Elephas maximus indicus: one gene and its partners. The protein of the gene in region 4 purifies or fractionates together with the protein of the main gene of each other region. This does not show direct contact. Links are inferred from orthologs where the notes say so. Each region holds a gene or a part of one and is shown on either strand. Other genes may lie near its edges. The genes, in order: CNOT11, CNOT6, CNOT10 and TNKS1BP1.

Evidence for each region.
Region 1: the proteins of TNKS1BP1 (region 4) and CNOT11 purify together in Homo sapiens (affinity purification with mass spectrometry; 5 studies listed by BioGRID and IntAct, counting the BioPlex papers as one, with this or other methods). This does not show direct contact. The link is inferred for Elephas maximus indicus from reciprocal best matches to the Homo sapiens genes TNKS1BP1 and CNOT11.
Region 2: the proteins of TNKS1BP1 (region 4) and CNOT6 purify together in Homo sapiens (affinity purification with mass spectrometry; 3 studies listed by BioGRID and IntAct, with this or other methods). This does not show direct contact. The link is inferred for Elephas maximus indicus from reciprocal best matches to the Homo sapiens genes TNKS1BP1 and CNOT6.
Region 3: the proteins of TNKS1BP1 (region 4) and CNOT10 purify together in Homo sapiens (affinity purification with mass spectrometry; 4 studies listed by BioGRID and IntAct, with this or other methods). This does not show direct contact. The link is inferred for Elephas maximus indicus from reciprocal best matches to the Homo sapiens genes TNKS1BP1 and CNOT10.

Annotation. Positions count from the first base shown.
Region 1 is NC_064835.1:84,609,670-84,616,649, forward strand, and holds the start of CNOT11 (CCR4-NOT transcription complex subunit 11), read right to left. Parts: upstream 3,010-6,980; 5' UTR 2,877-3,009; coding exon 2,360-2,876; intron 1-2,359. UniProt on the Homo sapiens protein: Component of the CCR4-NOT complex which is one of the major cellular mRNA deadenylases and is linked to various cellular processes including bulk mRNA degradation, miRNA-mediated repression, translational repression during translational initiation and general transcription regulation.
Region 2 is NC_064820.1:202,907,964-202,915,091, forward strand, and holds the start of CNOT6 (CCR4-NOT transcription complex subunit 6), read left to right. Parts: upstream 1-4,117; 5' UTR 4,118-4,436; intron 4,437-7,128. UniProt on the Homo sapiens protein: Poly(A) nuclease with 3'-5' RNase activity.
Region 3 is NC_064845.1:6,926,934-6,934,064, reverse strand, and holds the start of CNOT10 (CCR4-NOT transcription complex subunit 10), read left to right. Parts: upstream 1-4,120; 5' UTR 4,121-5,077; coding exon 5,078-5,279; intron 5,280-7,131. UniProt on the Homo sapiens protein: Component of the CCR4-NOT complex which is one of the major cellular mRNA deadenylases and is linked to various cellular processes including bulk mRNA degradation, miRNA-mediated repression, translational repression during translational initiation and general transcription regulation.
Region 4 is NC_064825.1:118,733,427-118,740,266, reverse strand, and holds the start of TNKS1BP1 (182 kDa tankyrase-1-binding protein), read left to right. Parts: upstream 1-3,836; 5' UTR 3,837-3,971; intron 3,972-4,259; 5' UTR 4,260-4,271; coding exon 4,272-4,410; intron 4,411-5,498; coding exon 5,499-6,132; intron 6,133-6,840.

The DNA of each region.
Region 1 (6,980 bases), on a different chromosome or scaffold from region 4:
CAGAACGGATCAATTCCTAGAGAAGGACATCATGTTTGGTGAAGTAGAGGGCCAGCAACAGTATGGGAGACCCTAGGTGAGATGGACTGGCACAACGGCCACAACAATGGAATCGGACATGCAGGTGATCAAGAGGATAATGGAGGACCAGGCAACATTTCGTTCTGTCGTGTGTAAAGTTGCCAGAAGTCTGAGTCGGCCTGACAGCAGCTGACATCATCAGATGCTTACCCTCGACGTACAGTAACAGAAGTTCTAGGAGTGGGCTGGCAGACACTGAGACTTCCTCTTCTGTGTATTTACGTACCATCTGTACCTACTTCAACAGTGATGGGAACAACGGGTAACATCGTAGGGACTTTTACTCTTCGTAACAACCCTGCCAGGGAGGAATTATGATTATCTGCATTTTACAGATAAGAAACTGAGTTGCAGAGAGGTTAAATAACCCATCCAAGAATTCCTTCCCTAGCAACTGCCTCAGCTCCATTGGCAAATTTGTAGGTACAGTACAGTCTATGGGCTGGGATTTGGTTTAGAATCACTGCGTTTGAGAACTGCATTATACAAATGAGGGTTCTTTCGCCTGACCAGCCCTTCAGAATTCAAAGGGCCCTCTGACGTAAATCCTACACTGTCCCCATCCTATAATAATGGCACCCTAGGGTGGTTGGTGGGTTTTGTCCTCACACACACATGCTGCATTCACTTTTGAGGGGTTCTCAAACTTTCTAAAAGCCAGGTTGAGTACCAGTACCCTAAGAGCACCTCAGTCCAACAAAAATGGTGCCTTTCTTAGACAAGAACAGTGCAAGAAACTCATCAGGAGGTACTTGAGATCCAGAGGGGCTGCCAGGCAGAAGACTGATGAGCCTAAAATGTAGAAGCCCTCACATGCCACCAAAAAGCCCCCAGGGAATATCTCAAAAGCTGCTGCCCTAACCATCTCTCCGTATAGCAGGCTCTACCATAGGGCAACCTACCGTCTCCCACGGGTTACGGGCTACAAGCTGTTCTCCCTTGTTTACCTGCTTCGCCACTACACTTGTCCTCTTCTAAGGCCCCTAATCCCTGTCACCATCCACTCTCTACCCTTCTCCTCTCCTGGCTGCAAGACTTCACCCAAAGTCAATCCCCACAAAGCACTGGCTGCTCGAGTTCTAGAAACAAACAGAAAGTGCAGCCTGGCATCTAACCCACTGACCTGATCTTACCAACGCTGCACAACTACACGGTTTACATCGTTCAGCAGTCCTGCATTTTCTAATCGGGGTCGTCTGTCTGAGACTACCTCCTATCCTCTGCCCCCATCCTATTATCCAAGGTCGACCAACCGGCTGCAAAGTCTTTAAACGCTGTTTAACCACAGGTTTAGCTTCTTTGGGTTCTTAATATTGACCTCCATTTACTCATCCGAGAGTTAAAACCGGGGCCAGATCCAGTTGTGTCTTAATGCTTAACTTCAGACACTTCAAATGGGCTGTAGAAAACGAACCGTTTTTGAGGCACTGAACATGGCCAGCCTCACACAGAGCTGCACGGGACACGTCGAGAGGGCTTATTTCCAGCCCCACGAATCTGTAATTAAGTTCCCTCTCTCAGACGTGAGAACAGATGGGCCAGGGGATAGTCTAACTTCACGAAACCCAAACCCACTGCCGTCGAGTCGATTCCAACTCATAGCGACCCTACAGGACAGAGAAGAGCTGCCCCACAGAGTTCCCAAGAAGCGCCTGGCGGATTCGAACTGCCGACCCTTTGGTTAGCAGCCCCAGCACTTAATCACTACGCCACCAGGATTTCCATAACCTCACAGGGAGACTTACTGTCACTTTGGACGAATTCCCAAAAGCGCAAGGGGAAAACGGCCGAGCCCATCCAGCCACCCAGCCACCCCCGGGGCACCGGCCGAGCCCAGCCACCCAACCACCCCCCGCCCCCGGGGCACCGGCCGAGCCCACCCACCCCCCCCCGCCCCCAGGGCACCGGCCGAGCCCACCCACCCAGCCACCCCCCGCCCCCGGGGCACCGGCCGAGCCCACCCACCCAGCCACCCCCCCGCCCCCGGGGCACCGGCCGAGCCCAGCCACCCAGCCACCCCCCCCGCCCCCGGGGCACCGGCCGAGCCCACCCACCCAGCCACCCCCCCCGCCCCCGGGCCACCGGCCGAGCCCACCCACCCAGCCACCCCCCCGCCCCCGGGCCACCGGCCGAGCCCACCCACCCAGCCACCCCCCCGCCCCCGGGCCACCGGCCGAGCCCACCCACCCAGCCACCCCCCCGCCCCCGGGGCACCGGCCGAGCCCACCCACCCAGCCACCCCCCGCCCCCGGGGCTCCGGCGCAGAGGCGGCGCCCACCTGAGAGCGGGGGCCGGTCGGGCTCCTGGCCGCCGCGGGCGGGCGGCGCGGGGTTGAGCAGGTGCGCGAAGCTGGCGGCGAAGGGGTTGGCGGCGAGCGGCTCGGTGCGGTACATCTCCCAGAGCAGGTAGAGCGCCGTGAGGCGCTGCGCCGCGCTGGGCAGCAGGTCGGGCTGCTGCAGCAGCATGACCAGCACCGAGCCCAGGCGGAAGTGGTCGGCCTTGCTGAAGTAGTGGTGGAAGGCCGTGGACAGGCCCTCGAAGGTGCTGCCGCCGCCCGCCTCCTCCGAGATGATGCTCAGCAGGCTCGACAGCTCCTTCGGCGTCAAGCTCATCCTGCCCGCGGGGCCCCCGGGGCCTCCGCTCCCCGGCCCGGGGACGCCGGCTCGAGCGCCTCTGCCGCCGCTGGAGACTCCCGGGCCGCTCCTGGACGCCGACCCCGCCGCCTCCCGGACCCCGCTTTGCTCCGCGGCGCTGAGAAGCCGGCCAGACGCCGCGCTCGTCCCGCCACCGGGCATCCACCTCGCCCGCCTGCCCTGCTTCCTGGCCGGAGTGGCCCTGGCGCCGGCTGGCTCCGTCCCCGCGGCCGTAAAGCGTGCTGTGGCACGACAGCGTCGCAAACAAAACACGCCGGGAAAGCCAGAGCGCCGCGGAGGCAGCGCCGAGCGAGAGCGAGGCTGTGGAGCGAGGCCGCCGGAAGGATCGGGAGGCGTGGGATGGGCGGGCTGGAAGCGGCCGGAAGTGGGGGCGGGGCCGGAGGGGGCGCGCGGATTGGGCGGGCGGGTCGTGGCTCGTAGACGTCACACGGCGGGACAGCCCGGCGAGCCTGGGGTCCGCCTGCTGCCAGTGCCTGCGCTGCTGGGAAGGCGGGCTGTGTAGGCTCCCCCGGCGCAGTGGTTGGCCGGACGGTCCCGATAAACAAACCAAAAATCAAACCCACTGCCACGGAATCAATTTCAACTCGTAGCGACCCTGTACAGAGTGTAACTGCCTCCTAGGGTTTCCAAGGAGCCGCTGGTGGATTCCAACAGCCGACCTTCCGGGCAGCAGCCAAGCGCTTAAAAACTGCACTCTCCCTCCCCCCAATAAGTACTGGCTACTGTAGTGTTTGGATTCTGTGTAGTTTTCTTAATATAACATCCATGGCTGTTCATTGTAAAAAATTTTAAAGCGTATAACTAACCAAACATTTCCCATATCTAAAGCTAATTTGTCTTATGCTGTCATTTGCAGAAATGGAATCCTTGCCGTTTGGCTATGCTACTTTTTACTTAGTCTGCCCTATCCTGGCTGCGAAAATGCTAATGTTTGGTCCAACCCAAAGATTCTGATCCAGGCAGCTAAACAAAACAAGCCTCCCACGTGACTCTAACATGCTCTTTGCCAGACTTGTGTTTCGGTATAACTCATAGCGACCCTATATGACCGGGTAGAAGAGCCCCATCGGGTTTAAGGAGGAGCTGGTGGATTCAAGCTACCGACTTTTTGGTTAGCAGCTGAACGCTTAACCACAGCACCACCAGGGCTCCCAATTGGCTCTCAACTATGCTATCAACTCAAGTAGTTAAATGCCTCCTTAATTCTTAGGGAAATTTTAAGGGAGAGAAATTGCTGGGCCAATGAGTATGCATATTTTGAAGACTTCTTCAATTTCCTGCTCAGTTGCCAAAGATCCCACTAGCCAATTAACATTCCTAACATCAGCAAAGATAATTTGCTAATGTTTGGAACATTGGGGAACTGGGTCAGTTAGCGTGAAAGTACTCTTGTTTTTATTCTTTTACTATAATAAACATAATTGTGTTTGAGCCATTACATTCTGGGGTCTATTTGTTACAGCAATTAACCTACCATACACAGGTTTTACCGTTTTGTATTTTCAAGATGCTTTAAAATATTTGAACATTATTGATTACAAAAAAGAACTAAGTATTGTTCTTTCTGTGGGAGTATTTTCAACATGAACATGACATCAGACTTTGCTTGTGTTCCCACAAACCAGTTCTCAGGCCCTAAGCCATCATCAGCATAGGTTTCGGTGGTCCTCCTTCATACTCACCTCATCCTTGCCCTCAGACTTCCCACCTGCATTTGGTCATTTAACAAGTACTGTTTTGGGCACCTGTTATCTATGAGGAAACCCTGGTGGCACAGTGGTTAAAGTGCTACAGCTGCTAACCAAAAGGTAGGCAATTCAAATCCACCAGGCACTCCTTGGAAACTCTACGGGGCAGTTCTACTGTGTCCTATATGGTCGCTGTGAGTCAGGCAACAGGTTTGGTTATTATCTACAAGTTGGAATCCTACAGCAATGGATTTGGTTTTGAGCACCTTTTATCTGCCAGACAGTGCTATAGGCATTGCTGAAAGGCCAGGGACAAAACAGAGGCATTTTTTGGAGCTTAGAGGAGTTTGGTGGCCCCGGGAGGCCTCTTGGTCAGCAGCACAGTAACAATCAGTGCAGGAACCCCCAGGAGAGAATCATCTTCATCTGATACTTGAGTTTACTATATAATTGAAATATCCCACTGAAACCTTTAAAACTCTTTATAAAATAGAACACAAATTTTCTTTTCTTTTTAGACTGTGTGTACAGAACACAATTTATCCTTGTTATCATTAGAAATATGCTGTAACAGAGTAATGTCTTAGTTATCTAGGGCTGCTATCACAGAAATACCACAAGTGTGTGGCTTTAACAAACAAATCTATCTTCTAACAGTTGAGGAGGCTAGAAGTCTGAATCCAGGGTACTGGCTCTAGAGGAAGGCTTTCTTTCTCTGTAGGCTGGCAGAAAGGCCCCTTTGAGCTTCAGCTCCTGGGAGATCTTCATGAGGCTTGGCTTCTGTCTTCCCCCATCTCTGCTTCTTTTTGCTTGCTTGTTTAATCTCTTTTATACCTCAAAAGAGATTAACTCAAGATATACCCTAATCCTGCCTTATTAACATAACAAACATAACCTAATACTCATTGGCTAGATCTTGAAACGTTCTTTTTGACAATGAATGCAACACCATTCCTCTTCAAGTTGTCATTCCCAGCATAGTAGACTATATGATTGTCCCATTCAAAATGGCCAATGCCAGTCCATTTCAGCTCAATAATGCCTAGGGTATCGATGTTTATGCATTCCATTTCATTTTTGATGATTTCCAATTTTCCTAGATTCATACTTTGTACATTCAAGGTTCCGGTTATTAACAGATGTTTGCAGCTGTTTCTTCTCATTTTGAGTTGTGCCACATCAGCAAATGAAGGTCCCGAAAGCTTTACTCCATCCACGTCATTAAGGTCGACTCTACTTTGAGGAGGCAGCTCTTCCCCAGTCATCTTTTGAGCGCCTTCCAACCTGGGGGGGGGGGTCTCATCTTCCGGCACTATATCAGACAATGTTCTGCTGCTATTCATAAGGTTTTTACTGGCTAATGCTTTTCAGAAGTAGACTGCCGGGTCCTTCTTTCTAGTCTGTCTTAGTCTGGAAGCTCAGCTGAAACCTGTCCTCTGTGGGTGACCCTGCTGGTATCTGAATACCAGTGCCATAGCTTCCAGCATCACAGCAATACACAAGCCCCCACAGTACAACAAACTGACAGACACCTAAAGTACAACGCTGTCAATGATAGGATAGTATCCATATGCCTACAAGGAAGACCAGTTAATACGACTATTATTCAAATTTATGCACCAACCACTAAGGGCAAAGATGAAGAAATAGAAGATTTTTATCAGCTGCTGCAGTCTGAAATTGATCCGACATGCAATCAAGATGCATTGATAATTATTGCCGTTTGGAATATGAAAGTTGGAAACAAAGAAGAAGGATCAGTAATTGGGAAAGATTCCCTTGGTAATAGAAACAATGCCGGAGATCAAATGATAGAATTTTGCAAGACCAACGACTTCTTCATTGCAAATACCTTCTTTCACTAACATACATGGACCTCACCAGATGGAACCCACAGAAATCAAATTGACTACATCTGTGGAAAGAGATGATGGAAAAGCTCAATATCATCAGTCAGAACAAGGCCAGGGGCCGACTGTGGAACAGACTATCAATTGCTCATATGCAAGTTCAAGCTGAAACTGAAGAAAATCAGAGCAAGTCCACGAGAGCCAAAATATGGCTTTGAGTATATCCTACCTGGATTTAGAGACCATCTCAAGAATAGATTTGATGCATTGAACACTAGTGACTGAAGACCAGACGAGTTGTGGAATGACATCAAGGACATCATCCATGAAGAAAGCAAGAGGTCACTGAAAAGAAAGAAAAGACCAAGATGGATGTCAGAGGAGACTCTGAAACTTGCTCTTGAGCATCGAGCAGCTAAAGCAAAAGGAAGAATTCATGAAGTAAAAGAACTGAACAGAAGATTTCAAAGGGCCTCCCGAGAAGACAAAGTAAAGTATTACGATGACATGTGCAAAGAACTGGAGATGGAAAACCAAAAGGGAAGAATACACTGGGCGTTTTTCAAGCTGAAAGAACTGAAGAAAAAATTCAAGCCTTGAGTTGCAATAGTGAAGGATTCCATGGGGAAGATATTAAAAGATGCAGGAAGCATCAAAAGAAGATGGAAGGAATACACAGAGTCATTATACCAAAAAGAATTATTCAA
Region 2 (7,128 bases), on a different chromosome or scaffold from region 4:
CATCATTATAAATGGGGAAAAAGACTGAGGTTGTCAAGGATTTCATTTTACTTGGCTCCACAATCAACACCCATGGAAGCAGCAGTCAAGAAATCAAATGACACATTGCATTGGGCAAATTGGCTGCAAAAGACCTCTTGAAAGTGTTGAAAAGCAAAGATGTCACCTTGAAGACTAACATGAGCCTGTCCCAAGCCATGGTGTTTTCAATCGCCTCATATGCATTTGAAAGCTGGATGCTAAATAAGGCGGAATGAAGAATTGATGCCTTTGAATTGTGTCACTGGTGAAGAATATTGAATCTACCACGGGCTGCCTAAAAAATGAATAAACCTGTCTTGGAAGTACAACCAGAATGCCCTTGAGAAGAAAGCATATGTCTCACAAACTTTGGACATGTTATCAGGAGGGATCTGTCTCTGGAGAGCATCATGCTTGGTAAAGCAGAGGGTCAGCAAAAAAGAGGAAGACCCTCAACGAGATGGGCTGACACAGTGGCTGCAACAATGGACTCAAGCACAGCAACAATTATGAGGGTGGCGCAGGACCTGGCAGTGTCTCACTCTGTTGTGCATAGGGTTGGTATGAGTTGGAACCGACTGGGCGGCACCTAACAACAATTAGGAAAAGTACTTTCTCTATTCAAGTGGAGTCGCTGATAGAATCTAAGCCTGCAAGTGTTGTCGGCCACAATTCCTACCTGACCTTGAAGACTATGAGGGTTAAGGTTGGGTATCAACTTAACTCGACCATGATTCTGTGGTTTTGCAGTTGTGATGTAGTTTGGCAGCTCTGTGATGATGTTATCACCTCCATTGAGATCTGATGTAATGTAATTACCTCCAAGATGAAATGTTATGATCAGCCAGTCAGTTGAAAGGGAGCTTCCTTGGGGGTGTAGCCTGCATCCAATATAGGTGGACCTTGTGGCAAAGCTCACTGTCTTTTGCTCGCTCTGGATCCTGCAGCTGGCTCCTGTTCATCTGACCTCGAGTTCTTGGGACTTGAGCTAGTAGCTTACCAGCTGATCTTGGGATTCACCAACTTCTGCAGCCTTTGAGCCAGAGGCCTGCTGCCCTGCCAATCTTGGGCTTGTCAGCCCCTGCAGCTGCATGAGTCAGAAACCTTCAGCCTAATCCACGGATTTGGGACTTTACAGCCTCTACAACTGCGTGAGCCATTTCCTTGATATAAATCTCTCTATATGTATTTATACTCTTCACTGGTTTTGCTTCTGTAGAGAACCCAGCCTAAGATGAAGCCTGTTTGAGGAGGTAAGCAGAAAGGAGAGCCGAGTGGAGGGTGGGGGAATGAGATTGATCCTGATGACACCTATGTTGCCTCAACTTTTCAGTTATGTGACACTCCAAATCTGTCTTGGAAGAAGTGCAGCCAGAATGCTCCTTAGAGGCAAGGATGGCAAGACTGCGTCTTACATAGTTTGGACATGTTGTCAAGAGGGATCAGTCCCTGGAGGAGGACATCATGCTTGGCAGAGTACAGGGTCAACGAAATAGAGGAAGACCCTCAACAAGGTGGTTTGACACAGTGGCTGCAACAATGAGCTCAAGCATAACAAAGATTGTAAGGATGGCTCAGGACAGGGCAGTGTTTCGTTCTGTTGTGCACAGGGTCGCTATGAGTCAGAAGCGACTCGATGGCACCTAACAACAACTTGCAATGGGAGGTCTTGCCTAACATGAGAGGAATTTTGATCTGTATCTGAAAAGGTGAGTAGGCATTTGGTCAGGTTCTCTTCATATATTCTGGAAGACCAGGACATGCACAGGCAGGCCACCATTAGTGCCCTTCTTGTGGTAGCCAGTCTACTCAGTTTGCCCCAAATAAGTCCAACACTCCCCATGTGTGCATTCAGCTCCTTCACAGCTCTCTTGTCCCTCCTCTTGAATGTGGACTGGGGCTGTGACCGCTTTGACCAATAGAATACAGTAGAAGTGAAGGCCTGACTGTCCACTTCTTCCCTCTTGGAGCTCTGAGTCACCATGTAAGAAATCCAGGCTCACCTGCTGGAGAGAGCCCACGCAGAAAGGCCAGGAGGATGAGATACTACAATGAGAGGCTTCACTGGGTAGCACCAATGTGCCAGACTTCCAATCCAGCTACCATTTGAGGCATGGGTATGAAACACCTCAAGTGAGACCAGTAGAAGAAATGTTCAGCTGAACTCCAGAATTGTGATATAATTAAATTGTTTTTTGCCGCCAATACACACACACTCCGCAAATCAAATCACAAAAAGTAGCCCACTCTGGAAGGATGAACTGCAAAAAGGCTGGAGTACAGGTTGCCAGGGCTCAGAACACACATAAGGAGGAAAGGCATCACTTGGCCCCACAGCTTAGTGATACTTTATATTGGACACCTGCTGCATAACCCCAGTGTCCACTAGTCCTGGAGGCTGGATGTTGTGGGGGGATGCCCACAGGCAGCTGGTGCATCTGTATTTGTTCTTATCAACCCTTTAGCTCTACTAGGCTTTTGCACTGCCCTGCCTTTTCCCATTGTTCTCAGCACTAGGGGCCTATGCTGTTACTGGTGATTTCTTGCCAGATAGCAGGCAAGGACCATCACAAGGCCATGTTGGGAGAGGTAAGAACAAAACTCAAATAGCTTTTGTCCCTTAATCTTTTCATTGCCCTTCCAGCCTCCTGCCCCCCTACCCTGGGGAGTAGCCACTCCATTTCCCACACTAGATCAAGACAGGTTTCAGTGAGGGGTGTGTGCCTATCGATTTGTTGCTATTGCTAGTACCTGGAGCTGTTTCACTTTCACTTCTTAAAGGCTGATTTTCTGGGAAGGACCAGTAGCCCTTAGTTTGTCATCTAGGTGAGTGGGAAGCTATTTCTTTTCCCTCACGCCATGCATGCATCTCCAACGGACTCCAAGTATTTCTTGCCCCAATATGGTGGGCTTACTCAGAGCAGAGTGGGTGGCACCTAACAACAATTAGTAAAAGTACTTTCTCTATTCAAGTGGAGACGCATAGGGCGGGGCCTCAACTATCAGTCAACTAGTGTGGTGGGGTAGTGGTTAATACAGTGGCTGCTTAACCAAAAGGTCGGCGGTTTGAATCCACCAGCTGCTCCTTGGTAACCCTACGGGGCAGTTCTACTCTGTCCGACCCCTTGCCCTTGAATCGATTCTGACTCACAACGACCCTATAGGACGGAGTACAACGGCCCCACACAGTTTCCAAAGAGCAGCTGGTGGAGTCGAACTGCTGACCTTTAAGTCAGCAGCCGAGCTCTTAACCACTGCGCCATCAGGGCTCCGGTGCCAATTCTTTCTCTGCTAACCTTAGGTCACCACAGTTGGCCCTGCATACAGTTACTCAGGCTAGGACCGCTCCGCCCAAACTGTCTGTTAATTTACAGGGCTGAATTACTATTAATGGACTGAAACGGCTCACTAATTTTTCTGCATAATTGAGGCAGGAAGAATTAAGCGACTCTTCACGACCGAATTTCTAGTTTTGGGGCACCTTAAGGTGTTTCCACGTGATGGACAGAAAGCCTAAGGAAAAGGGAGAGGTGAAACGAAGGGGGGGGGTGGGGAGATCAAGGAAAAAGAAGGAAAAGAGGAAGCAAAAGTGAACAGTCTGAGACAAAAAGAGAAAAACAAACAAAAAAACCCCAAACCCACTGCCATCCAGTCAATTCCGACTCATAGCGACCCTATGGACAGCGCAGAACTGACCCAGAGTTTCCAAGGAGCGCCTGGTGGATTCAAACTGCTGACCTTTTGGTTAGCAGCGTAGCACTTAACCACTACACCACCAGGGGTCCCAAAAAAAGAAGGTAAATGGAAAACGGAAGAACGGAGAAAACAGAAGCGACCAGAAAGGAGAGCGGGAAGAGGAAACGGAGGGCAGGCGGGGGAGCGCTCCGGGCCGGCTCACCCTCCCCGGCGCGGGGGTGAAGGAGCCTGGAGAAGCGGCATGCGGGTGGCGGCCCCCGTCGGACGCCGAATGGTAGCGTCCGGCCACGGCGACCAATGGGCGACCGGGATGTTGGAGCGGCGGCCGCAGTCGGGGCGCTCGCTGGCTGGGGGACTGCGGCCGCCGCCATGATGCTTGTTTGCTTTCAATGAAAACGAGGGGGGCGCGGAAGAGGAGGCGTCGGCGTCGGTGGCGGCGGCGTCGGCGGCGCGGAGGCGAAGGCGGCGGTGGACGCAGCGAGGGGGGTAAAGCCGGAGGCGGAGAAGACAGGAGGGCATAGTGGCGACTAGTTGAGGCGGCTGAGGCGGGCAGCTGAAGCGGTGGCGCTCGGAAGGGGAACAAAGAGCGGCGGCTGAGGAGCGGCAGTGGCGCTGCAGCAGCGGGCGGGACTGGTATGGTGGTTCCACAGGTCAGACCCCGCTGCACTCAGAGGGAGGAGGCGGCGGCAGCGACGGAGGAAGGCGGCGCACCCCGAGAGGTGAGCGAGACGGCCCGAGGCCTGGCTGGCGCTGCTCCCCGCACTGGCCGCGCAGAGGCACCTGTCCAGTCTTGCCTTCGGGACCGGAGCCGGTGCGCGCCGGTGTCTGTCGAAAGCAACTTTTGTGGGTGGCAGTCCCCCCTGCTTGACCGAGCTGCTGGCTTTGGGGCTCCCCCCTTGACGCGCCGCGGTTGTGATCCCGCCCCTCGCCGGGCCGCGCCCCCGCGTGGATCTGGGGCGGGGGGGCGTTGATTGACGGCGGTGGCGGCGGCGCGCTGAGGGTCGGGGACTGGCGCGTCTGGTTTCGGGACCGGGCTCATGCCACCCGGAGGACGCGAGCCCCTGTCCCAGGACTCGTAGTCAGGGTGGGTGGTAACTTGAGCGGAGTGGCTGCGTTCATCTAGGATTGCGAGCTGGGGAAGTGTGGAACTTCGCACTACGCGGCCGCAGTTACCACAAAGCGGGAAACCAACTGTTACACCCCTCCCCCATCAATTATTTAAAATTAATTCAGTTGGGAGACAGACGTTTTTGGGGATGGGGCACAATGACATTGTTAACGAAACGCTTAGCATCAGTTGAAATTTCTTCCTGTAGTCTGTTGCTGAGGATTCGGAGATGGTCTTCCACGATACTAATTACTGGAAACAGTTTTCTCTAATAACCGGCATCATATCTTTTCGTCTTCTTATTTTTAAACCATAGTCGGTATATTCTTTGGAAACCTTCCTCCCCCCGCCCCGCAACTCTTTCACCTTCCCCAAAGGGCCTGTATTTTCAAGTGTTACTGCAAATGACAGCATTGTGAATGATCATATTGCTTGACCTTCTTGGATTTGTTATTGTGCTGAGCTGAAATTGTTTAAATAATTTGCTTGAATTTGAGTTCCCATGCTTACCTGTTTCCCGGATGGATTGGCTCATTATTGCTAGTGCCGAATTTTCTTGCCTCTTGATGTCTGGGAGTGTGAATTTTGGAGGGGAAGAGAGTGAATTATGAATAAGAGAAAAAAGGTGTGTGACAGGACTTAGTGTTTTTCACGTTACAGTAGAATTTACCGTTACAAAGCAGTTTTGTAAGCTGTAGGAATTGAAGTTTTGTAATATCAGATCAGTATCACAGTCTTCTGAATGTGATAAATTTTAGAATAAAACTTGCTTAATTTTTTTTTAGACTAGTGATGTAGTCCGGTCATCTTGCTTTAGACAAAATATTTGATTACCTACTGTTAAGGAAACTGAGACCTAGGAAGATTAGAGCGACTTGCCCAGGATACTATACTTAAAGAGGGTAGGACTAGGTTTTGTGTATGAGTGCATGAGATTGTGATAAAATTGCTGGAGATTTGTTTTAATGGACACATGTTATTTAAAGCAAGCATCCCAACCAGTGTGCCTTGCATATAGGAATGGGTTACAAGTGTGCTGAAGATACTGATCCCCTCAGCCCTTGTGTGCCAAAGGCTCTAGCTGTGAGCAGCGTTGACCATTTATCTCAGTATATCTTAGATATATTATCCTTTTATGCTGTGCTATGACAGAAAAAATGTTTATGCTTTACAGAACATAAGAAAGCTGAGTATAGTGAGATGCTTAACCATTAACCAAAATACATGCATATTATGAGTTCAATGGGCAAATTACTACAACACCTTCATTTACAGTCAGGACCAAATACTATCAGTTCACTTCGTGTCTGTTCAAAAGTTAAGAGTCTGAGATTTCTCAATAATTGTAGTCTTACTTTGCCACCAAGTTTCATCTACAAATAAGCATTCAAAAGGACTTTCTTAAGCTATGTTGCTGCTGATCAAGACATTTTTAATAATTATACAAGGGTAGAGTTCCAAGAGAAACTTCAGAGTCACACAAGAGAATTTATGTATTTGATCACATCCTCTTTTTTGACCATTTCATTAATCAGCTTATTCACTGGAGAATTAACCAGTCTCAGCTACCTTAACCCTTTCAGGACCACTTTTTGTACCTCTGGGGTTTATTGGGAAGCTGCTGACTCACAAATAATGTGTGCTGCTGGCAGGCAGGGCCCTATGCAACAGTTTGAAAGGAAAAAACAGGTGTGTACTGCAAATTACTGTTTTTACAGGGTATTGTGTGAGGTGGTGCTGAATCATTGAATTTTTGGCAGGAGAAGCATGAATTCTGAAAATTTTTATTTGGTACACATTATGTACCTCTGGATTCCAAGAGTACGATTTGTGGAATGAGGCATAAAACAAAAACTGTAATACCTACCAAAAATCCAGATACACTCAATGATTCATATTGCTCTCTATTATAGATTCATATTGCTCTCTATTATAGATTCATATTGCTCTCTATTTCTCTATTACTGAAAATGCATAGTATCAACAAAAAATTAAAAGGAAAAAATAATTAGGTCATGAAAGGGTTAAGGCATTTATTACTTTGGAAAAATCCAAATATATTCAGCTAAGAACATATTTTATCTAGAAGAGACTTGGATTTCTGGGGATGCAATGCTATTTACACTTTCTTTGTGAGTGGAACTTAATGTATTTAGAAAAGAAGGTTCCCATTTTAATTTCCAAATCCCCTCGCTTTCACAAAATTTTTTACTGATTAACTTTACATACTTTACCCACTATCCGCTTTAGGAAGGTGGCCGTTTTACAATGAAGTATGACTAATAAAAGCATTAATCAAAATA
Region 3 (7,131 bases), on a different chromosome or scaffold from region 4:
AGTTATTGGCAACTTGGCACTTCATTTCTAAATGCATCAACACGCATTTCCTAGAAGTAAGGACATTCACCCACATAACCACAGTGGTTAAGAGCTTGGCTATTACCAAAAGGTCAGCAGTTGAAATCCACCAGCCACTCCTTGGAAACCCTGTGGGGCAGTTCTACTCTGTCCTGTAGGGTCACGATGAGTCGGAATCAACTCAGTGGCAGTGAGTTTGGTTTGGTTTTAATGACTAATGATGTTGAACATCTTTTTGTGTGCTTGTGGTCCATTCGTATATCTTCTTTGGTGACATATCCAAGTCCTTTGCCCATTTTTTAATTGGGATGTCTTTTTGTTCACTCTCTTTTCTTTTTGCTCCTCAGACTTGATAGTAATTGTCCTATATTTGTGTTCACTGGTTCTTTTTTCTGCCAGATCAAATCTGCTGTTGAACCCCTACAGTGGATTTTTCATTCCAGTTATTCTTTTCAGCTCTGGTATTTTTCATTCTTTTTTAAAATAATGTCTGTCTTTTTCTTGATAGTCTCTATTCTCGTTTTATTCATACATCATTTTCCTGATTTCCTTTTTTTTTTTTTAACCTTTTGAGTATGTTTAATACTGTTGTTTTAAAGTCCGTCATCTGGGCTTTCCCACGGACAGTTTTTTTTTTTTTTTAATAATTTTTATTGAGCTTTAAGTGAACGTTTACAAATCAAGTCAGCCTGTCATACATAAGCTTATATACACCTTATTCCGTACTCGCACTTACTCTCCCCCTAATGAGTCAGCCCTTCCAGTCTCTCCTTTCGTGACAATTTTGCCAGTTTCTAACCCTCTCTATCCTATCTCCCCTCTAAACAGGAGATGCCAACACAGTCTCAAGCGTCCACCTGATACAAGTAGCTCACTCTTCATCAGCATCTCTCTCCTACCCATTGTCCAGTCCCTTCCATGTCTGATGAGTTGTCTTCGGGAATGGTTCCTGTCCTGGGCCGACAGAAGGTTTGGGGTCCATGACTGCCGGAATTCCTCTAGTCTCAGTCAGACCATTAAGTCTGGTCTTTTTATGAGAATTTGGGGTCTGCATCCCACTGATCTCCTGCTCCCTCAGGGGTTCTCTGTTGTGCTCCCTGTCAGGGCAGTCATCGGTTGTGGCTGGGTACCATCTAGTTCTTCTGGTCTCAGAATGATGTAAGTCTTTGGTTCCTGTGGCCCTTTCTGTCTCTTGGGCTGATAGTTATTGTGTGACCTTGGTGTTCTTCATTTTCCTTTGATCCAGGTGGGTTGAGACCAATTGATGCATCTTAGATGGTCGCTTGTTAGCATTTAAGACCCCAGACGCCACATTTCAAAGTGGGATGCAGAATGTTTTCATAATAGAATTATTTTGCCAATTGACTTAGAAGTCCCCTTAAGCCATAGTCCCCAAACATCCACCCTTGCTCTGCTGACCTTTGAAGCATTCAGTTTATCCTGGAAACTTCTTTGCTTTTGGTCCAGTCCAGTTGAGCTGACCTTCTGTGTATTGAGTATTGTCCTTCCCTTTCACCTAAAGTAGTTCTTATCTACTAACTAATCAGTAAATAACCCTCTTCCACCCTCCCTCCCTCCCCACCTCGTAACCACAAAAGTATGTGTTCTTCTCAATTTATACTATTTCTAAAGATCTTATAATAGTGGTCTTATACAATATTTGTCCTCTTGCCTCTGACTAATTTCGCTCAGCATAATGCCTTCTAGGTTCCTCCATGTTATGAAATGTTTCACAGATTCGTCACTGTTCTTTATCGATGCGTAGTATTCCATTGTGTGAATATACCACAATTTATTTACCCATTCATCCGTTGATGGACACCTTGGTTGCTTCCAGCTTTTTGCTATTGTAAACAGAGCTGCAGTAAACATGGGTGTGCATATATCTGCTTGTGTGAAGGCTCTTGTTTCTCTAGGGTATATTCCGAGGAGTGGGATTTCTGGGTTGTATGGTAGTTCTATTTCTAACTGTTTAAGATAATGCCAGATAGATTTCCAAAGTGGTTGTACCCTTTTACATTCCCACCAGCAGTGTATAAGAGTTCCAATCTCTCCGCAGCCTCTCCAACATTTATTAGTTTGTGTTTTTTGGATTAATGCCAGCCTTGTTGGAGTGAGATGGAATCTCATCGTAGTTTTAATTTGCATTTCTCTAATGGCTAATGATCGAGAGCATTTTCTCATGTATCTGTTAGCTGCCTGAATATCTTCTTCAGTGAAGTAGGTGTTCATATCCTTTGCCCACTTCTTGATTGGGTTGTTTGTCTTTTTGTGGTTGAGTTTTAACAGAATCATATAGATTTTAGAGATCAGGCGCTGGTCGGAGATGTCGTAGCTGAAAATTCTTTCCCAGTCTGTAGGTGGTCTTTCTACTCTTTTGGTGAAGTCTTTAGATGAGCATAGGTGTTTGATTTTTAGGAGCTCCCAGTTATCTGGTTTCTCTTTGTCATTTTTGGTAATGTTTTGTTTTCTGTTTATGCCTTGTATTAGGGCTCCTAACATTGTCCCTATTTTTTCTTCCATGATCTTTATCGTTTTAGTCTTTATGTTTAGGTCTTTGATCCACTTGGAGTTAGTTTTTGTCCATGGTGTGAGATATGGGTCCTGTTTCATTTTTTTTGCAAATGGATATCCAGTTATGCCAGCACCATTTGTTAAAAAGACTATCTTTTCCCCAATTAACTGACACTGGGCCTTTGTCAAATACCAGCTGCTCATACATGGATGGATTTTTACCTGGGTTCTCCATTCTGTTCCGTTGGTCTGCATGTCTGTTGTTATACCAGTACCAGGCTGTTTTGACTACTGTGGCTGTATAATAGGTTCTGAAATCAGGTAGAGTGAGGGCTCCCACTTTTCTTCTTCTTTTTCAGTAATGCTTTGCTTATCCGAGGCTTCTTTGCATGGACAGTTTTTGTTACTTTATTCTTCTGAACAAGTCATCCTTTCCTGTTTTGTTGAATGCCTTGTGATTTTCTGTTGAAACCAGGTCATCTGACTGTTATGGTAATTCTGGAAATCAGATTCTTCCCCTTCCCTGGGGCTGTTGGGGGTTTTATTGTTTGTTTTAAATCATTAGAACTGTAGTAATCCATTTATTTAGAGACTTCCCCTAACTGTTTTTGCAAAGACTACGTTTCTCTACATATGTAGACCCTGAAGTCTCTGTTCCTTAACTGTGTTCAGCTAGTTTTTTGACAGATTTCCTTGAGTGCCCGGGGTGGGGGTAGTGCAGTAATGTCTGTTTGTCTTTGCAAATTGGTTCTGTGCTAGGGCCCTCCTTCAGCACTTAGCCAGGTTTGTGTTGAGCCTATAGGACAGCCCAGCGTGAAAGTGTATGGTTTTCAAAGGTAATTTCTGAGCGTGTGCCTTGCTAATTCCTCCATATACAAGGTGCTTTTGAAAGTCTTCTTTTACAAAAGTAATCTTTCTTGGCTTTTCCTTCCAGTCTTTAGGTGCCTGTTGTGTGCCTTAATTGCATTCTTTAGCTACAGGCAGCTACAGCTTTTCAGAGTTCCCTACTGCCCCTCAGCCCAGACGTGTCAAACCAAGATGAGCACCTTGCTTTAGTCCTTGAGGCAGTCCTCGGACAGGTTAGATCAGATACAACAAAGTCTGCTCTGCCGTATCTAAAGCCAGAGACCAGGCTCTCTCTCTGGGAATGTGGACCATTGTGGCTTTAAGGTGGCCGTGCCAAACTAGGGAGGGGATTGAGTGCAGGTGACTAGAAAATGAAAGTTTACCTAATGCCATTAAGATGTTACATTTTGCTGATGCCACTATCTTGCTTATGTTTGATATTTTAAGTATGTTTAATGTTTAAGAATTTGGAGCAGTGTATTAATCTTGTTATTGTGATTAAAAATGTATAAATGAGTGAGTAATTGATTATAGTTGTGAATTTAAGTCAAGTCCTTACTATATTTGTATTATTGCATGGAACATCAAAGAGTACCTAAGAGTTACTGTATTTATCCATCTCATTTCTTAGATTTATAAATTAATGTATTTAAGTTCTCAGAAAATGTTTTAAGTCAAGCAATTGTACCTAAAATTGAACATATTAAAGATTTTAAAGTAGGGAAAATTTTGTTTGAAAGAGCTTAACTCTGTAAATGAGATCAAATATTCATTACAGCCGCTTAAAATCGACGCAGGTTTCCTAGACCTTTAAATAGGGTAATAAGATGTCTAAGTTGAATGTAAAAGCTTGAGGAAAATCTAGGCTTTATTAATTTATAACTTCAACAAATCTAATATTAATGTTTAAACCTAGAGTAAATCTCAGTCTTTTTTATGCATAAAAACTGCTCTCAGATATGAAAATAAAAATACTCACTGGCAGTGGGAGTGGGTATGCTTTGCTGGTTATCCCCAGAGCATGCTGATGTTCTTGATTTGGACTTCACTTCCTTTCTTTCTGAAGCACTAGGCAAGGTGTCCACCTCTGTAGCATTGCTGGTTATGAATGGCGTATCCTTTGGGCCCTGCAATGTCTGCTCTCCATTTTTGCAGCTCCTCACGTCCAGCCTACAGTGAAAAGGAAACGTGGCTTATGCAGTACTTCTTGCTTTCTGGAAGGTAGCTCCACTGGTCCCCTGTTACTTCTCTGAGTTATGTAGAGGTCAGGTATCTGTGTGTGGAGTTTTCATACCTCAGGTATACTTGTTGTTTAGGTGCTAGAAGGAACACGTGAGGTATGTGAGCCTCAGCTATATGGTGACTTTGGTGAGCCTGGATTACTTTTCTTTGAAATGGCATCCTTGTTAAAACTTTTCTCCACAAAGGCATGTCAGTATTTTGCAAACATTGCAGATTTCTGTCAATCTTAATGCATTCCTTTTTTCTTTGAAAAATTATCTTTTCTTGAACATCACTGGAGCTACGTATTGACAAGTGTAGGTTGCGCGGAAGCTCATGCTCCAATCAGATTTGAATTGTTAGTGTTCTGTATTGGAATGCGTCTCTGCTTTCAGTTAACTGGCTTTCAGTTTTGAAAAAGCAGCGTGTTCCTTTTCCACTTAGTTCATACCTAAAGGCATTCGTTTGGTTAGAAATGAAGCCTGTCGGCTTGAAGACTGTCAAGATTTGTGAGGCAAAGAGCTCGGGTTGCCTAGGTCAGCCATGTTCGTTAGGTCAGAGTAAAAGGAAAGTCAAGCCTTTGAAAGACCCATCATCATATTCTCTTTCAATTGGCAATGGGGACTACTTTTGGACAAATAAAGAAATGTTGTGGAATTACGTGCAGGCTCTAACTGGTAAGAAATTAGCAGTTACAAATAATGATTTTAAAAAATTTTAAAAACCAATTATAGGAGAAATACGTATTTATCATAGAACGTTTGAAAAGTGCAAAAAGATAAAAAGAAAATGAGCGTTCTCACTATAGTGTATTTTTAAAAAAAACAGTAAATTTTCATGCTAAAGTGAAAGAATTTAGGTAAAATAACAGTTGGTTAACATGTAAAAGGTTATTTATTGAGCTCAGTTCTTTGAAACAGGTGTAGATACAAGAATCACAGATTTTCTTGTCAGGCTTAAAGTCCAGCTTATTTATTTAAAACCTGGCTTCTTTCCTTTCCTGGAGAATTTGGGGAGACTTGCAGTCCCTAGGGGATGACGACAGCAGTGGCCACATGCACCACTCTGCTTTTCACGGAGAATAGAAGCTTAAACTCCTTGACTCCTTGGTGAATTGTTGAGTGCATCCTTGTGCCCTATAGTTAATGGTCAGTCTCTAACAGTTAGGCCCAGAAGACCCGTTAAAGAATGTCATCTGGTCTAGAAGGGGCATATTTTGGAACAAGCTATAAAGATAACTTGATGGCAAGCTAAGAATTTTTGGCATTTGGTTTAAATATGCACCATAAAAACCAAACCCATTGCCATCAAGTCGATTCCGACTCGTAGGATAGAGTAGACCTACCCCATAGGGTTTCCAAGGAGCGGCTGGTGGATTCGAACTGCCGACCTTTTGGTTAGCAGCCGAGCCCTTAACTACTATGCCACGAAGGCTCCATACTTACAAACCAAAAAAACCAAACCTGTTGCCATCAAGTCGATTCCAACTCATAGCGACTCTATAGGGCAGAGTAGAACTGTCCCATAGGGTTTCCAAGGAGCACCTGGTAGATTGGAACTGCTGACCTTTCGGTTAGCAGCCGAATTCTTAACCACTATGCCAGCAGGGTTTCCATACTTACTTATAGGGGAAAGGTAATTTTTTAAGAACTTGCGTTTCCTAAACTCTTAAATGGAAAGAGAAACATGTAAAAAGTATTTGTATTCATTGTTAAAATTTTATCATCAATATAATGTGATAAGTTGAGGGTTGAGCTTCAACCTAACCCCCTCCTGTGCTTTCTGGGGTCCTGTAATCCTGCGTCCCATTTCAACACATTATTAAAGTAATTGATCATTACTGTTACTAAGTACCTGATGGTTTGCAAATGTGAAAGAGGGGTCAGAGCAAAAATCCTGGAAAGTGGGATAGAAGTGCGGTCAGACTGTTGACAGTTATTCGGGGTAGAGATTGTAGAGCCGCTTTGTACTTTATATGTATTTATTAGTTTTGTAATAAAAAGTGAACATGTAAATAAGAAATCCAAATATCATGAGACTTTGAAGTTGTTCTTTAAGTCACAAATGATGACATTACTCTTATATATTGTGTCTTTGGTGAAAGTTTACATAGGAAATTAAGTTCTCATTTAACAAATTTTGTACATATTGTCTAGTGACATTGGTTACATTCTTCACAATATTTCTGCGTTCTTATTATTTCTATTTTAGTTGTTCTGTTTCCGTTAATCCAGTTTTCCTGTCCCCCCTAGCCTTCTCATCTTTTGTCTAGGGTAAATGTTAAGCCTTTGATTTCACCTGGATAATTATTTTGGGGAGCACAGTCCTCACAGGTGATATTATTTATTTTATGGGACAGTCTGTCATTTGGCTGAGAGGTGACCTCTGGGAGTGGTTTGAGTTCCAAGTTTAAAGAGCATCCCAGGGCGATAGTCTCTGATGACTTTACTCTTACATGTCGGAGTCACATTTTTGCAGTGGTCACTGTCACTGGTCTTTTAGTTAATGCATGAAATATCTACTGGTGAG
Region 4 (6,840 bases):
CGTCCTTGTGCCTTCTCTGTAGCCCTGTCGGATGGCGCCCGTTTTTCCCAGTGTTGTCTACTGTATCGCCCTGGCCCAGCTTCTCAGCTGGGAAGCAATCTTCAGGTACATCCTGTTCTGTTTCCAGCTGGACAAGCATTGGTTTTCACGCTCTTCTGCCGGGACGGGCCACCTGAGAGTGTAGAAATGAGAGCTGATCTGATTAGGAAGTCTCTCTCACAGTTCCACTCCATTAGCCTGGCTAAGAGGAGGCAGCCTCTGGCTCCATCCTTAATCACCTATGAGTCAAGGGTCTTCAAAGGCTTTAGGTAATTGAATCAGGCTTTAGGTAATTGAATTGACCAGTTTCCCTGCAACCAGGAGAGTAGAAACCTGAGCCTGGAGAGTTGGGGAAGATGAGTAGGGTGTGTGTCTGTGCGTGTGCGCGCGTACACGTCTAATAGGGCACAGAAAAAATATGATGGAGTATGTAAACCTTTTGTTCTTAAGGGAGAGGATACTAAATTTGGGGGTTGGGAAGGAGCGATATTTGGGAAGGTAGCGTAGCAGAGGATAAGCAAAGAAAGGAAAGCAGGGCTGCCACCGTATTCCTCCCGGTGGCTCTAAATCTGAATTTACACACGTGGGGTGGCCACGTTGCGTACGTGCTCAGGAGGACTCCGGGGGTGGCAACAGGAAGCCTCTCCGGTCCGCCAACGGCTACCTTCTTTCTTGCCGTGACTCTATGGTGCTGCCATCAGTACAGGCCCTTGGGCTCGCGTATCGGGTCGCCCTAAGGCAGCCTCCACTCTAGGCGGTCGTCTCGGTGGCCATCTTGCCCGAGCATTCCAAACTCCCGAATTGCGTCAGTTTCGCCGGGTCCGAGCTGAGGCGGGCCCCTCATTTGCAAGACTCATGAATAATTGAGTACCAGGGCGGCGCTGTTTGCATTTGGTCGGGCGAGTTCCGTCAGGGCTTCCCACTCCCGGGGTTGCATCGGTTTATGAATGTTCATGAGGTGCTCTGGGGGCGTGGTCATGGGCGGAGCTAGGGGCGGGGCCCCGCCGGTGCTCGCTCTGGCTCGGTCCCGCGGTGACGGCGGCAGCGGCGGCGGCGGCGGTGGGGACTGGCGTCGGGGCGCCTAGCCGAGCGGAGCCACATCCCCGGGGAGCGCGTGAGTGAGCGGGGGCGGGCGGTAGGGCGAGGGAGGGGGCGGGGTCCGGGATGGGGCAGGGGAGGGGCATAGGAGAGGTGGGCGCTTTGCTGCTGGGACCTCTGGGTGAGGTGGGGCGGGGGTCTCAGGGAAAGTTTTCAGGGGCCGGGGGCCGCGAGCTAACAGGGGAGCTGACGCGTGGCCGCGGGGGCGAAGGGTGCACAGTCTGCATCTCGTGCTGCAGGAGCCAGAAGAAAGGGGGGAGGGGGCGAGGGCCTGGGGCGGGCCGAGGTGCTGGGTGACCCCTTCCTCCCTCCTCTCCTCCGGCCCCTCGGCACGCCCCCAGCCACCCCAGGCCGCCCCCACCCGGTCCGCGTCCTCAGTCCTCCATCTGTTCTCCGGCTGCTTCGCATCCCGCGCACAGGTCCTCCGCTTTGCTTTCTGCTCCTCCTCCTCCTCCTCCTCCTCAGCTGCCGCCGCCCCCTCTGTGTCCAGAGCTCCCCACTGGGCCCCTCCAGACGGCCCCTCGCCCCGGGCTGTTCCGCCTTCCGGTTGGCCCTCCCTCCTCCAGCAGTTCGCATGCCGTCCCTGCTGACCTCTCTGGCCCCAGATTCGGCCAGAGATCCCAGGGTCCAGAGGGACCATCCCATCTGCGCCGAGTCGCCTCAAGGCCCCTGCCCTGGGCTCGAGCTTCCCAGCCCCTCCCCAGCCCTTCTGGCGGCCTTTTTTGCCAGGGATCAGTCAGCTCGGCTCCCCGGGACCCCTGGGGGTAGGGAGTGGTCGGGAGCCGCTCCGATTCTGCAGCTTCTGGTCACGGTCTGGTCACCTGGAGCTCCTGGCTGGGGCCTCTGAGCTGCTGTGGCCCCCTCCCCAATTGGGGAATCCATGTTCTCACGTTCATGACTGCTTTCATGGTGCAGCCTCTCAGACCCCAGAGGTCCACATCAGGCCCCCAGGTGAAAGGGTTTTTCGGTTCTGGGCCAGTTTGTCTCCATTTCTATCTAACCACCCACACCATGTCCCTTGTAATAATGTTCAAGGACAAGTAAACGATCTCGTGTTTCTTAATTTAATTTTTTCTGTCCTGTGGCTCCTCCCCCATGCACACTTGGACAGGGACCTGCTCAGTTATTCTCCCACCCAGTGGGCAGCCCTGGGTGGTTCTCGACTAACTGGTTGACCAGTTGATAGCCCTGGGCTTCTTTCTACCCTTCACACATCCTCTCTTATGTTTGAAACAGTGGGGCAGGGGCACAGGTAAGTGGGATAGGTTTTGCAATGGTTGGGCACCAGAGCCCCCTTCTTAGGGTTTGGTGCTGTCTTTTCTCAGACCAGCTGGAGTGTATGTGGGAGGTGGTGCCCCTTGCATATCGGAAAGGGTTGGGTTGCTGCCTTCATGTGCTTTGTGAGCACTAAGTGCGTAGGAAACATTCCTCTTACTTTTGACCTCAAGGGGCAGGGCTCTATCTCCCAGGCTGGAGTGCCTGGGGGGTCTTGTGGGTGGGATGGTGCTCCAGGAGCCAGGATGGGAACTGAGGAGGTGGTGGAGTATCTGAGCTACAGGTGACATGACTGCGGTGTGTGGAAGTGAAAGAATGGGAATGCTGAGAGCCTGGGGTCCAGGGAGATGAGGAAGTGGTTACCTGAGATGCTCGCTCATTGGTGAGACTGTGAATGGAATAATAGTAATAATAGCTAATGTTTATTGGACACTTAATGATGTGCTAGGCATTGTGCTAAGCAGTTTGCATGCATAAAAGGAGCCTTGGTGGCACAGTGGTTAAGCTGCTAACCAAAAGATCAAAAGTTCGAACCCACCAGCTGCTCTACAGGAGAAAGTTGTGGCAGTCTGCTTCCGTAAAGATTACAGCCTTGGAAACCCTATGGAGCGCTTCTACTCTGTCCTATAGGGTCACTATGAGTTGGAATCGACTCGACGGCAATGGTTAATGGGTACCTCACTTAAGCCCCCCAACAGCCACGATAGCCCCATTTTTTAGATAGGGAAACCGAGGATTAGAGAAGTGAGCCATGTGCACAAGGTCACATAGCTACAAAGTGGTAGACCCATCCAGCATTTGAATCGTGGTTCTCTCAGACCCAAAGCACCTGTTATAGATATGGAAGAGGGATACCTATTTGGATTCTACCATGGACTGTGTTTCTTGTTTTAATTTTTTCCTCACCCCCCTCAAAATCCCATCATGCTATCTCTAGGCTGGTGAGTGATGCCCACTTATCTCCCTTTTTCATAGGCTGTGGCTGTTTCAACCTGGGTGTCCTAGAAGGGGGAACCCCAGGGAGTTTTCCCCCAAGCCACTCCACCCCCCGGATGTTCTCAAGCCCTGTCCCATTCTCCCAGCCCAGGCCTGGGCCGGCTCCTCCTTCCTCTTGGCAAGGCTCTGGAAATCCAGTGGGAGGCCATTGCTATGGCAACAGGACTAGGCCTTGGCTTTACCTCATCAAATTCTAAGCTGAAGCCAAAGCGATTGAGAAATTAAAGAAAAAAATATATTCCAGATGTTTACTTTTTATTCCTTATTTTTCCGTGTTTGGATTAGACGGCTCTGAGGGAGGCGGGAGAGGGGCAGGGATGTGGAAGGGGGGTGGCAGGGGGAGAGGGAACCACTCCCAGCTGGAGGAGGGAGGGAGAGAAGGAGGGTGAGCGGGAAGGGGGAGGCAGGCAGTGGGGCGGAGCCCCAGGTTGGGGAGGAGCGGGTTTTTCCCGTCTCCCATGAGGTGATTCACTGGGAGACTTCAGACTTTTTGGCCCTCCTTGTTTTACCTCGAGTAGGTAACTCCAGCGGGGCTGCTGGACCCAAGGGGTGCCTTGGGAACGGTAAGTGGGGTGACTTGGAGAGCTTGCCAGAAGAGGGAGCAGTGGGTGGCTCCCTGAAGGTCCAGGACTCTGGGGTCGGGAGGAAAGAGTTGGTTGGAGGGTGAGCTGGGAAGAGGAGAGGACTTGGCAGCTGGAGTCCTCCCTTGACCTCCCCCAGCCTCCTTCGGAAGTTCCCTCTTCCTGTCCCACTCTCTGCCTTGTGCTAGGAGACTTCCCTTGGCTGAGCCTACTGCCAACGCCCAACTTTTTTTTCCTTCTCTTCCTTTTTCTCTTTTCCTGGGTCTTCAGCTGCCCCAGCTCATGCCCCTCTGCTCCCTGAATCTCACGCAGGGTCTGCCGCATGTGATGAAAGTTTCAACTCTCAGGGAAGGCACAGCCATGGCTTCCCCACCGCCCCGGGAGATGGAGGAGGAGCTGGTGCTCACTGGCTCTGAGCCAGGTACCCATGGGTGCAGGGTGGGGCGGGTAGCTGAGGAGGAGGGTTGGAGGGGCAGAGACTACACCCCCATTCTGTTTTTGTGGAGGTGGGCCAGGAATGGTTCTGTTGAGGTGGGAGTGAGGACGTCCAGATGAGTTTGTAAAGGTCTCAGCCCCTTCGGAAGAGGCTGTTGAGACCATCTGGGGCTGTTTGAGATGCATAGAGCCCCCAGCAGGTAAGAGCAGACAGGGCTCTTCAAGATGATGTGATCAATCAAGCCTCATGTATTATCGAGGGGAAACTGAGGCCCAGAAGGGAGAGATGGGGTTTGAACCCAGGCCTCCTAGCTCTCTGTCTAGACTGCTTTCTTACACTGAGCTGAATGGGGATCATACCGGATTCTATTAGAAGGGAGGTGGCCATGAGTAATTCCAAGGTCTTTCTTTGGCATTGGAATGCCTTATATAGAAGGCAGTTTTCTGGTCTTGTTTTTTTGCTGTAGCAGATTGACTTCTGTTTGGCTTAGGTCAATAGTAAATTTGCATTCCTGATCTTACCAGATGACAGTGGGGAGGTGGCCTGGGAGTATACTGGGGGCGGGGGCAGCAGGGAGGCAGGGCCCGGAAGCCCAGCTGGGCTTAAGAGTTTTGTCATGGGCGATAGTAGAGTATCGATAAAAGAGTATCCCAGAATACAAGGGGGAGGACTAGATAGGGGGATGGTTGGCCACATGGCTTGATATGGGTGGTCAGGCATTTATTTATGGACACTTTTGCCTGTTCATTCATTCATTCATTCATTTTTTCTTTCTTTTGATAAGACCTTGTGTTAGGTACCAAACAGGGTACCAGCTGGGCCCTTAAATAGCAGTAACTTATACGGGGGAAATGCCTAAACATTTTAGAAGTTTGGAGACGGGAGAAGATGCTCTTAGGATGCATGTGGGAAATCAAGGAAGGCTTCGTGGAAGAGGTGGCATTTGAATTGTGCCTAGAAGGATGTGAACATTCTGAGATGGGAGGGTGGGAGATGAGGTGGAACAGGAAACACAAGAAGTTCTGCTTCCTCGCTGTTCTGACAGCTGCCCCCCAACCATTTTGTTCTGATAGGTGACTCTCGGGCCAAACCCCCTGTCAAGCCCAAGCCCCGGGCCCTTCCCACCAAGCCAGCCCTGCCTGCCAAGCCCAGCCTACTGGTGCCTGTAGGGCCTCGGCCCCCCCGGGGCCCTCTGGCTGAGCTGCCTTCTGCCCGGAAGATGAACATGCTGGCGGGACCCCAGCCCTATGGTGGCAGCAAACGTCCCCTCCCCTTTGCACCAAGGCCTACTGCTGATGCCCCTGATGGAGGAGAATCCACTCGAGGGACTGGGAAGGAGGAGGCTGGCAAAGAGGAGGTGCCCCCCTTGACCCCTCCAGCGAGATGTGCTGCCCTGGGCGGCGTTCGGAAGGCCCCGGCCCCATTCCGTCCAGCCTCAGAGCGCTTCGCAGCCACCACCGTGGAAGAGATCCTGGCCAAGATGGAACAGCCTCGGAAGGAGGTTCCTGCCAGCCCTGACCGCCTCTGGGGCTCCCGCCTCACCTTCAACCACGATGGCAGCTCACGTTATGGCCCTAGGACCTACGGCGTTGTCACCAGCCCCAGGGCTGAGGATGGCGGGACCGTTTCCAGGGGATGGTCCCAGGAGGGGCCCCTGAAGTCTCCAAAGGAGAGCCAGGAAGAGCATAGCAAGACCCCTGAGGAGAGGTGAGGGTGGGGAGGTCATATGTTTTGTTGTACCTGGAGGCCGGGGGTACTGAGGATGCCGTGGGTGGCTCCCTGGGGCCGCAAGCTTCACCTCTAGGCAAGTTGTGTGCTCTGAGTGCAGGTACACCCTGGTCTAAGTGTCACAGATGTACTCCTCCAGCAACATACTACTGGGACCATGCTTACAGAGCTGCTGCATGTTTACTGTAGAGAGCTCAAATGTCTAACATAGAAATTTACTTTTAGTTTCTATACACTGAGAGCTGGGCACTTAAGATAGGTATTTTCCAAACTTGTCCCCTTTAATCCACAACCATCTGTTGGGTGAAAGGAACTTAGACCCATTTTGTAGAGGGGGAGACTGAGGATCAAAAAACGATTTCCCACATTCCCTCAGCAAGTAAGAGGCAGAGCTGGCATTTGCATTCGGGTCTGTTTGATTCTGAAGCCTGTACTGTGGGCGGAGCAGTGTGCCAGGCCTGAGGTGGGAGGGGCAGCAGGATGAGCAGGTACAGTCTCTGCCAGAGGAGGAGTCTGATGGGAGAGTTAAGACTGCACATACCAGAGAGTGTGAACACACAGGTTATGGCTGGACTGGAGACTGTTGCATTAAGTACACTTCTTCAGAGCAGGCCAGCAGGCGCCCCTTGGGGTCATGGGCACTGGGCAATGGAAGAAAAGGCTCAGGGATCTCAGGATCCCTCAGCT